Cricetulus griseus: one gene and its partner. The protein of the gene in region 1 interacts with the protein of each later gene in a pairwise test. Links are inferred from orthologs where the notes say so. Each region holds a gene or a part of one and is shown in the gene's direction. Other genes may lie near its edges.

Region 1 (4,466 bases):
AGAAGGAAAACTTTGGCCACGTGTATGTTAGACCATATCACCACATCCTCCAGATAGGGTGCTTTTTCTGCCTGGTGAGGATGGGCAGGACCACACTTGTCTTGAGGGAAGATATGTGCTCTGGTCAGTAGGATGTCTTTTGGGTCAGTTAGTGAGACATGAGATACTGCTTTCAGGCCATAGCTTGAGCACCTGCTGTAAGATAATTGGGAAAAAACAAAAACAAAATGATTATTTAGATGATTGTGAAAACAACAAATCTACAGATCTTATGTAGTGTTTATCTCTGAGGATTTCTGGGTGGCCCAGACTTTTCAGATGGAGGGTTGCTAGTGGGGAGATAGAAGGCAGTGCCTTTCTTAGGGTCCCCAGAGACTCCCAGTGGTTTAGATGAATTGGCCTCCCTGTCCTGCTCATACACAAGTAGCTGTTTCATTTTTGAATTGTGTTGGTGAGGTGAAGCAGCCTTGATGGATTTGTTTAAAAGGTGCTTGGCCAGGCAAGCCTGGGACTGTGCAAGACTAGAGGTTGGGTGTGAGCAATTGCTGGCTTGGAAAGCAAACAAGCAAAGGTCTCTTGCCTGGCCATCTGGTGAGGAGAATGTGAAGGGGCAGGATATGGGTGAAAATGGTACCATCCTCATGTAGCCATCTTCCTCAGCTGGTTGCTGATCCAGCTTGGGAGTCTCCTGTACTGGATATAAGTCCTCAGTGGCTAGGGGTAGTGAATCGAAAGCCTGCTTCTGCTTCCACGTGTAGACCTACAGCCACGTCTTCTAGGCACCTCCAGAGATAGTCTCACGAAGCAGTGATGGTCAGGGGAGCTAGACCCGATGGCAATGATGCTGTTGCTGAAAGTTGAAACACCTGGTATGGGACTCTAGTTGGTCTGAGGGCCTCTAAAATGTGCCTCAGGCAAGCAGCTTAGATTCTCTGAGGATTGTGGCACCTTCCTGGGCTGAGACTGGATGGGCCAGCAAGGGCTGGGCAGGCCCTCTGGGCCTATGCCCACTTGGCTACACCTTGGTAGAAGGTAGGGAATGTTGATGAGACATTGTGTCTTTGCTCAAGGTTTAGTGTTCTCCTTTCTACTGTGTCTTCTCACAACTTCGAGTTGAGTCCAGTTCAATGCTTTAGCAAGGCAGCTTGCAGTTTCTGAAACCACTAAGTACATTGGTTCCATGCCACCAGTTCATTAGTTTCAGGCTCCTAGAACATTTAGGTTATAGGATTCCATAGGCAGGAAGACATTGAGCAAAGCTCTTCTTTCCCCCTGTCCTAGCATCTCTGTGACAGTGCTCAGAATCCCCTAAGAGATCTACTTCTGTATCTGGGCCCTGACTTATCCAGTTCAAGTGTTCAGGCCCCTAGGCCATGCTGGGGAGGCACCTGTTTGTTTATTCACTGGCAAAAGGATGGAGTCACCCATTGTCTGCTGTTCTGTTACTGTGACCTCAGAGTTCTTCTTTACTTCATAAACCCGGGGGTAGGGGGGTTGCCCCTAAATAGAACAATGGGCCTCTTCTTCAGGAGCACCTGGCTGCACCAGGCAGCCCTGTGGCTGGAAGCAGTGAGCTGTGTGTTGAGCAGGGCTTTCTCTTTCTTGTGGCCTAGATGCATCACTGTAAGCGATACCGTTCCCCAGAGCCAGACCCATACCTGAGCTACCGCTGGAAGAGGAGGCGGTCTTACAGTCGGGAGCATGAAGGTCGACTACGATACCCATCCCGAAGGGAGCCTCCCCCAAGGAGATCACGGTCCAGAAGGTGAGTGGGAGCTGGTTTGGAAGGAAGGAAACACTTGTTTCCTCAGCGAGATGAGCAGATGGCCCAGAGGCTCTGGTGGCTTTAGGTTCTTTTAGATGACTGCTTCTGCCCAGCTGCCTGTGGATCCTTGCCTATTTCCTGGCCTCAGCAGAAGCTACCCTCCTTGTCACCCTTTCTTTGTCACAAAGTGGTCCTTCTTCTCCCTCTGTATTTTCTACACCAGTACCCCACCTATGAGCCTTCCTCAGTGGGAAGTAGGAACATTGTCCTAGCCTTAGAAAGACTGGTCCCAAGTCCTGTCTGAGTCCCCAGACCAAAGTAACAGTTGTACCAGGCTAGTCAACTCTGTCACTGTTGGAGGCCTTTCTCTATGCTTGCTCACTTTTTTTTTTTTGCTTCCTCACTCCTTGTGGCATGGAGGAGCACTGTCATTACCCAAGGCTCTGGAGAATAAGCTTGGTACCTTTGCACCTTCTCTTTTGTTTACTTCCCTCAGCTTGGATGCTTCAGCTCTGACAGGCTTTCCCTTAAGAGCCTTTGCAGGGGCCCTGCCAAAGGCCTCTTGCCTGCTGGCAGGAACCTGGCTGGTAGGACCCTTCTTGACTCGTGTCCTCACTTCCTCTTGGCAGCCATGACCGCCTACCCTACCCTCGGAGATACCGGGAACACCGTGACAGCGATACGTATAGGTGTGAAGAGCGGAGCCCATCCTTTGGAGAGGACTGCTATGGGTCTTCACGTTCTCGACATCGGAGACGGTCACGAGAGAGAGGGCCATACCGTACCCGCAAGCATGCCCACCACTGTCACAAACGCCGTACCAGGTCTTGTAGCAGCGCCTCCTCGGTGAGTGGTGGCCAGAGTGTGCTAACAGAGGCCTAAAAGCCTCATCTCTTTCTAGCCTTCTCTCAGGCTGCCTGGTCTGGGTGAGTACTGGCAGCCCTGTGCACACACACCATTGTGTGTGCACACATTTGTGTGCGTGTGCGTGTTTGGTACAGGGCTAAGCAAGGATGTTATGCCCTCCATCTTCTGGCCCCTTGCCAGTGGCAACTGTAGGGGCTCTGGCTCCGGCGCTGGCTGGTTTCCAGCCTGTCTGTGTCTACCCATTGTTCCAGGCATAGGCTACATGGCACACATGCCTGGGACACACTTCTCAGGGATCGTACTAAGATTGCTGGTTTGTGGCTTGGGGTTTATATGCCTTGTTCCCTTCATCTCCCTGCACATTGCTAAGTGCTTTGAGTGTGGACTTGACCACCTCTGTCGCCTCACTTTCAAACCCTGCTTTCCCAGAGGACCAGAGTCTGCATTACCCAATAAAAAGGGACACTTTACGAGTGATATTTTTTTCCTCTTTTAAATGCTGGGAATCCGACCCAGAGCCCATACATACTAGGCAACTGCTCTACCACTGAGCTATGTCACATCCCAGTCCCCATGCTTCCTCTTTGTTTTTGAAAATCTTGTTATGTATTCCAGGTTGGCCTAAAACTCCTGATCCTTTTGCCTCTACTTCCTGAGTGCTAGGCGCCACTGCCTGACTTCCTAGCCCTTTCTCTTTTTTGATACGAATCTTGAATTTCTGTGTTGAACCTTCTAAGTTGATGGTCTACAAGAGCACATCACTTTGCCCTGTCAGTCAGCCCAGATGGGGAGCTTCCAGTCTGACTTCCAGCCAGGCTCTCTTCTGCCTTGTTCCTTGATAGGTGGGATACTTGTGGTGAGGAGAGGCAGCTATCTGTGTGATGGGCCCCCAGGCCTCACCTTGTTGCAGACCACTTAAAAACAGAGGTTGGCCAGCATTCTAGGGTGGTGGGGTGAACAGACCAAGAGCCAACCCTGTACTCAATCCCATGGAAAAGGAAAGTCACTTGTATGTTTCTGAGGTTATGTGCTGTCTTCTCTGCTCCCCATCTGTTCTCCCCATGTTGTCCTCCTGCTGGCCAAGAGGCCTATGAATAGTAGTAGTGGGTTCATTGGAGGTATCTTTTCCGCTCAGTGCTCTGTGACTTGCGTGGCATGGGTTGAAGGTTGACTCTTGCAGGTGAGTCCAGCATGGCCTGTGGCCTCAGACAGTGCCACATGCTGCCACAGGATGGCAGTGTAAGTCTGTTGCTCTGCTTATTTTTGGTGCCCTCTGTCGTTGTGGGACGGGTTTGGTTTGTGAGTGGCACAGGTCCTAAGGCCAGGTCAGGAGCTGGCTTGGGGCCTGAAGGTCGGCTGTCCTGGAGGATCTCAGCCAGGCTCATTTCCTGCTGGAGACTGGTGGCAGGAGGGCTGCTGGCAGAAGGCTGTTTATGGTAGTTGGTTAAGTCTGGCCAAAGATGTCATGTGGGGGCAGGTAGTAGTTTGGTTTTATGTGGCAGCTGTTGAGCATGTTGTAAGGTTGTGTGGGCGAGTAGAGGCAGGCAGGGACAGGCTGAGCATACTGCTGCAGATACTGCTGCAGCTAAAGCCAGGATAGCCTTCTGACCAGTCCAGAAGGTTGGACCAGTTTGGGCCAGCCGCCTTTTTGCGCCGTTTGCTCTCACTGTGTTTTCAGCTCTGGCCAAAGTCATGGGAGGGTCAGGGCGGGGGAGACTCAGAAGAGGAGGGAGTCAGGGCTGTGGCTGTCCTTGGGGCCTGGCCCCTCTGTGTCAGAGGCTGGACATCTTTCTGAGCATTTGTGGCACTCTTCTTAGAGATAATGTCCGAGTTT
Region 2 (5,147 bases), about 69 Mb from region 1:
CTCTCTCTGAACCACAGCTGGGGACAGGCCAACAGGGATGCAGGATAGCCAGGATGACAACGCCTTCCTAGTACTTTCAGCCTTGCAACCCTTTCCTGCCTCCTCAGTTTAGCCCACAGTAACCAGCCTGGGTGAGGTGTCAAGGGTCCCCAGGCCCCCTCTCTGTCGCCACCTGTGTCTCCTGCTGTTGGCTCCAGGGAACCCCACTGGGGTTGGTCCCAATTTACCTCACCTAGCCAACTCACTGAGAAAGCAAACCAGACCCTAGATTATGTCTCTTGATGGCTACTGGTCACCATCATTCTCAGAGCTCTAGACTGGTGGTCCTTAACCTTCAGAATGCTTCGACCCTTTAATACAGTTCTGGGTACTCATATGTGGGCATATCGGCATGGGCGGGCCCACCTGGAGATGGACAAAAGAGCAGTGTCTCAATTCCTAAGACCTTTGGAAATATGTATTGTGCGATCATCTTAGGAGACCCCTGTGAAAGGGTTGTTTGACCCCAGTGGGGTGGAGAAACAGCTTGAGAAACACTGCTCTAGACAAATGTGACCAGCAGAGATCTATTTTTCCATGGAACCCAGCAACGGATGAAGTACTGACCTAGAGTCCCAGCCCCTGTCCCCACCACACAGACTCTGGGCCCTCCTATCAGATGGCTCCAGTACTGGGGTGACTGTGAGCTGGACGAGTGAGGAGTGAGGTCATGACCATCTAGGCAGCAGAGAGGCCTTGCTGACCTAAACCCTTCCATCTACGACAGCAGCCAGCATGGTAGTGGCAATATGGATCCATTGAGCTTGATTCAGGCCATGGCCCTGGGGAGAAGGTCCCCATGGGCATAGCTTGGGCTGGTTGAGGATATATATATATATATATATATATATATATATATATATATATATATATCCTGAGTGCTAGGGTTGCATATATATATATGCAACCCTAGCACTCAGGAAGCCAAGGCAGGGTCCCTGGGAGCTGCTAGTGTCCCCTGCAGTCATTTTCTGGCTCACTTAGAGGAACTTAAGAGTCCTTCTGCTTTCAGGGTTCCTGTATGGGAGCCAATGCTTTGTTATGATGACACAGGCACTCATGTGGATGCCAAAGGGACTGGCAAATACAAAGTCACTGTGCCTTTCCCAGTGAGCTTTCCAGGAAACATCTGCAACATAGGACAGCTAAACACAATATCCCATCCTACCTTGAAGGAAGATGCTACAAATAGTCTATGAGAGGCTGAGGCAGGGGGATTACCTGTTCAAGGCCAGTTTGGGCTACATAGAAAGGCTCTGTCTCAAAACTCACACAAAGTAATTGTATTAAATTTGTATTGACAAAATTCCCTTGTTTTTAATTTGATTTTTAAATATTTACTCTGTGTGTGTGTGTGTGTGTGTGTGTGTGTGTGTGTTCGGAAGCTACTCCTCAGAGCACTATGTTCACACAAAGGCAGAAAAGTAAGCCTACATCTACTAGGACACCTGCCTTGCTGTGTGTCTTTGAGCATGTGAGTCCCTCTCTGGACTTTCTCTACACTCAGCCTAGCACTGAGTGCCTCAGTCTCTGGAAACAGGAGAAAAGAGCCAGTTTCCATGAACAGCCTCCACTTTCTATAAAACCAAATTAACTTAGTGGTTAGTGAGCTAGACAGGCTCCTCTGATTTACAGATGGAGGAGACAGAGACACCAAGAAGTCAGTCCTGCACTGAAGTGTAGTGGCATCTCGCCTTGCCAGTGGCCACACCCTTTGGGCATGGTTTCAGGTGTGGATCGGTGGGCACTCTCTTGGGTAGTGGAGAGCATCAGAAGCACAGAGACTGCATCTCCGGGAGCAGGAAGGTGCAGGTACAGCAGTAATTTACTCTTACCTGTGTAAGTTGTTCCCCAATAAAACACCTATTTATCTTTATCTTGGATCTGGTAAACTCATTTAAACCCCACCTTCACTGAAGGATACACATATCTGTCCTCTGGGGAGGTGTCCCCCGAGGCTCTGGAGGTTTCAGGGTTAACCTGGGGTGTCCCTGGGAGTGGCTGGCCAGCAAGAAGCTCCCCCCACCCCCAGCAGCTGCTGGGCAGTGACTCCTGACACTTGGGTTTCGATTTCCTAGGCCAGGCAATTTTGGTCTCAACTTCCTCTATCCAGATCAGGGCAGAATCCCCAGGACCTACAGCCAGCTAGCAACTATGGGAAACTGGTTGGCTGGGGGATCGTCTGAAGAGTTATCTGGGGGATCCTCTGAAGAGTTATCTGGTGGGTTGTCTTACTTAACCTCAGTGCCAGCGCACAAGCTAGAAGAGTTTATCCAGGCAAACCTCACACCCAATGAAGAATGTCTGAAGCTGATAGACCAGGATGTGGATGACATCTCTAACTTCCTGCTGAGCTCTGAGATCACTGTGGTGAGAGTGGCTAAGGTGAGGCCCAGATTTGGGGCCAGGGCTTTGGATCCCAGGAGAGTTTGCTCTCCCCCAATACCCCCACTCCAACCCTGCCCCTGCCATGGGGGTGGTGCTGAGCACTGCTCCACACCAGGCACTTCACAAGGCTTTTCTCCTTCTGAGGACACAAAGGCAGACAGTGCAGGGGCCCAAGCTACAGCCAGGTCATCTTCTGCCTGGCTACATGACTCTGGCAGGCTGCTTCATCTCTCTGTACCACAGAGTCCGGGTCTGCAGAGTGAGGGTCAGCCTAGACCCCTCTTCAGAGTGTTGTAACAGTGAGGCACACAGTGTTCTTAGCATCGATCCTCAGTAAATTGGTGGGGACTGGTTCCATGCACATGTGCACTTCATTGTGTGTCATCTTTGACTCCACATTTGTGAGAGTTTTGTTCCTACAACCATTTTTTGTTGTTGTTGTTGGTGGTGGTGGTGGTGGTGGTGGGTTGGTTTTTTGTTTTTTGTTTTTTTGTTTTTTTGTTTTTGTTTTTTTTTTCCAGACAGGGTTTCTCTGTGGCTTTGGAGGCTGTCCTGGAACTCGCTCTTGTAGAACTCACCTGTTTTTCATTCTTGTATGGTACTCCACTGTATGAAGTGTTTATCATATTGCAGTTTTGAGTTGCCTCCAGTTTGGAGCTAGCATACAAGACACTGACCCCCATGCAAATTAGTGCTGGCAACCTGATTTTAAAATGGTGGTGACATTTGGGGATTTCACTGGACATAAGAAATATCCCTGCCTAGAGCTACAGAAATCCCAAACCTCACACCTGATGCTTCATTCCTTGCAGGGTGGCTCCTATGGCCGAGGAACAGTTCTAAGAGGCTACTCTGATGGTACCCTTGTTCTCTTCGTCAATTGCTTCCATTCATTTGGGGATCAGAAAGCATATCAACATCTACGCATCCACTGGATTGAACAACTGCTAAAACACCATGAGAAATATAATAAGCCAAAAAAGCTTGGGAACATCCTTGAAATCCAACTGTCCGTACAAGGACAGAGTATACTCTTGCAGCTACTTCCAGCCTTTGATCCTCTGTGTGAGTGCTCTGGGATGGAGGGGGGCCCCCAAACTTTCCCGGAGTACTGGGGAACCACAGGCAGAGGCTATGACAGACGATTTCCAAAGTGGGGCTCGTAAACCCCATCTTAGTCACTGTTCGTTGCTGTGAAGAGACATCATGACCAAGGCAGCTCTTATAAAAGAAAGCATTTAATTGGTGCTTGTTTACAGGCACGGAGGGTTAGTCCTTTATCATCATGGTAGGAAATAGACAGGCACAGCACAGAGCAATAGCTAAGAGCTTTATATCCTGATCCATAGGCAAGAGGAAGAGAGTCACTGGGCCATGTGTGAGCTTTTGAAACCTCAAATCCCATCCCCAGCAACAAGGATGTCCTCTGACAAGGACACACCTCCTAATCCTTCCCAAACAATTCAACTGGGGACTAAGCATGCAAAAACATATGAGCCTCTGGGGTCACCACCAAAACCCCCAACAGAGAAGAGCCCTCCACCCTGGGCATACTCTATCTAGAACTTCATTCTCATCTCATTTACTTTGGATAAAATGTTCTAGACTCTTGGCTCTAAAGTGGAGCTTGTATAGGTGAGCAGGTGGATGGATGGATGAAGGGTGGATGGATAAATGGCAGGGAAGAAAGTGAACAGATAGATGGAAGTGGATAGCTGGGTGCTCACTTGATGTAGGTATGGGCAGAGGGATGGATGTGGGAGATCTGTGTATGTGTGTGAGGATGTATGGATGGATGTGTGGGTGTATGTGGAGGAGGGGAAATGGATGGATGCATGCTTGCATGGATGTAAGGATGGTGGACAGATGGGGAAACGGATTGATGCATTTCTGGATGGATGGGCGTGTGAATGTGTGGACAGACAGACAATGAACTGATACATGTATATATGCCTAGGTGGATGGATGGAAGTCAGGTTGTATAGACAGATGTAAAAATGGATGGATGTAGGAATGGACAGATACATGGATGGGAAAACAAAAGGACAGGAATGTGTGGTGGCCATGCTGCCAATGGTGGACTCAATAAGTCTGACAGCCCAGGACTTCTGAGTTGGAGGCTAAGGTGCCTCCATTGTCCACAATTCTGAGGAACTTATGGATTACTGGGACCTTAAATACCCACCACCTGACCATTTTCTGACAAGATGGAGATGTACACACGCCCACATGACAGCATTCTCGGGAAGGTGGTCTGGGTTAGAAAATGTGCCACCGTTGCATGAATCCTTCTCATCTGTTAGGGTTGAAGGTAAAATATGTTTGAGCACTTGGTCCCAGCTGATTTGGGAGGGTGTGGAGCCTGTAGGAGAGGGAGCCTCACTAGAGGAAGTGGGTGACTGGGAAGTGAGCCTGGAGGGTGGTAACCCCAACCCTGTCTCCAATCCTGACCCCAGTTCCACTTCCAATCCATTTCCTGGTCCGAGGAGGGAGAATTCAGCATCATGTTCCCCGGGCACGATGGCTGTGCCCTCAGTGAGCCAAAAGAAAGCCTTCCCTTGGGGCTGGAATGATGGCTCAGAGGTTAAGAGCACTGGCTGCTCTTCCAGAGATCCTGAGTTCCCAGCAACCACATGGTGACTCACAACAATCTGTAATGGGAACTGGTGCCCTCTTCTGGCCTGCAGACAGAACATTTTATACTAAAAGCAAGCAAGCAA

Evidence for each region.
Region 2: the proteins of Clk3 (region 1) and Oas2 interact in binary tests that used the Homo sapiens proteins (3 or more experiments, as listed by UniProt). The two-hybrid records come from large-scale screens. The link is inferred for Cricetulus griseus from reciprocal best matches to the Homo sapiens genes CLK3 and OAS2.

The regions. Positions count from the first base shown.
Region 1 is NC_048597.1:169,395,657-169,400,122, reverse strand, and holds part of Clk3 (dual specificity protein kinase CLK3), read left to right. Parts: intron 1-1,613; coding exon 1,614-1,765; intron 1,766-2,394; coding exon 2,395-2,611; intron 2,612-4,466. UniProt on the Homo sapiens protein: Dual specificity kinase acting on both serine/threonine and tyrosine-containing substrates. Phosphorylates serine- and arginine-rich (SR) proteins of the spliceosomal complex.
Region 2 is NC_048597.1:100,562,279-100,567,425, reverse strand, and holds the start of Oas2 (2'-5'-oligoadenylate synthase 2), read left to right. Parts: upstream 1-2,119; 5' UTR 2,120-2,193; coding exon 2,194-2,424; intron 2,425-3,239; coding exon 3,240-3,492; intron 3,493-5,147.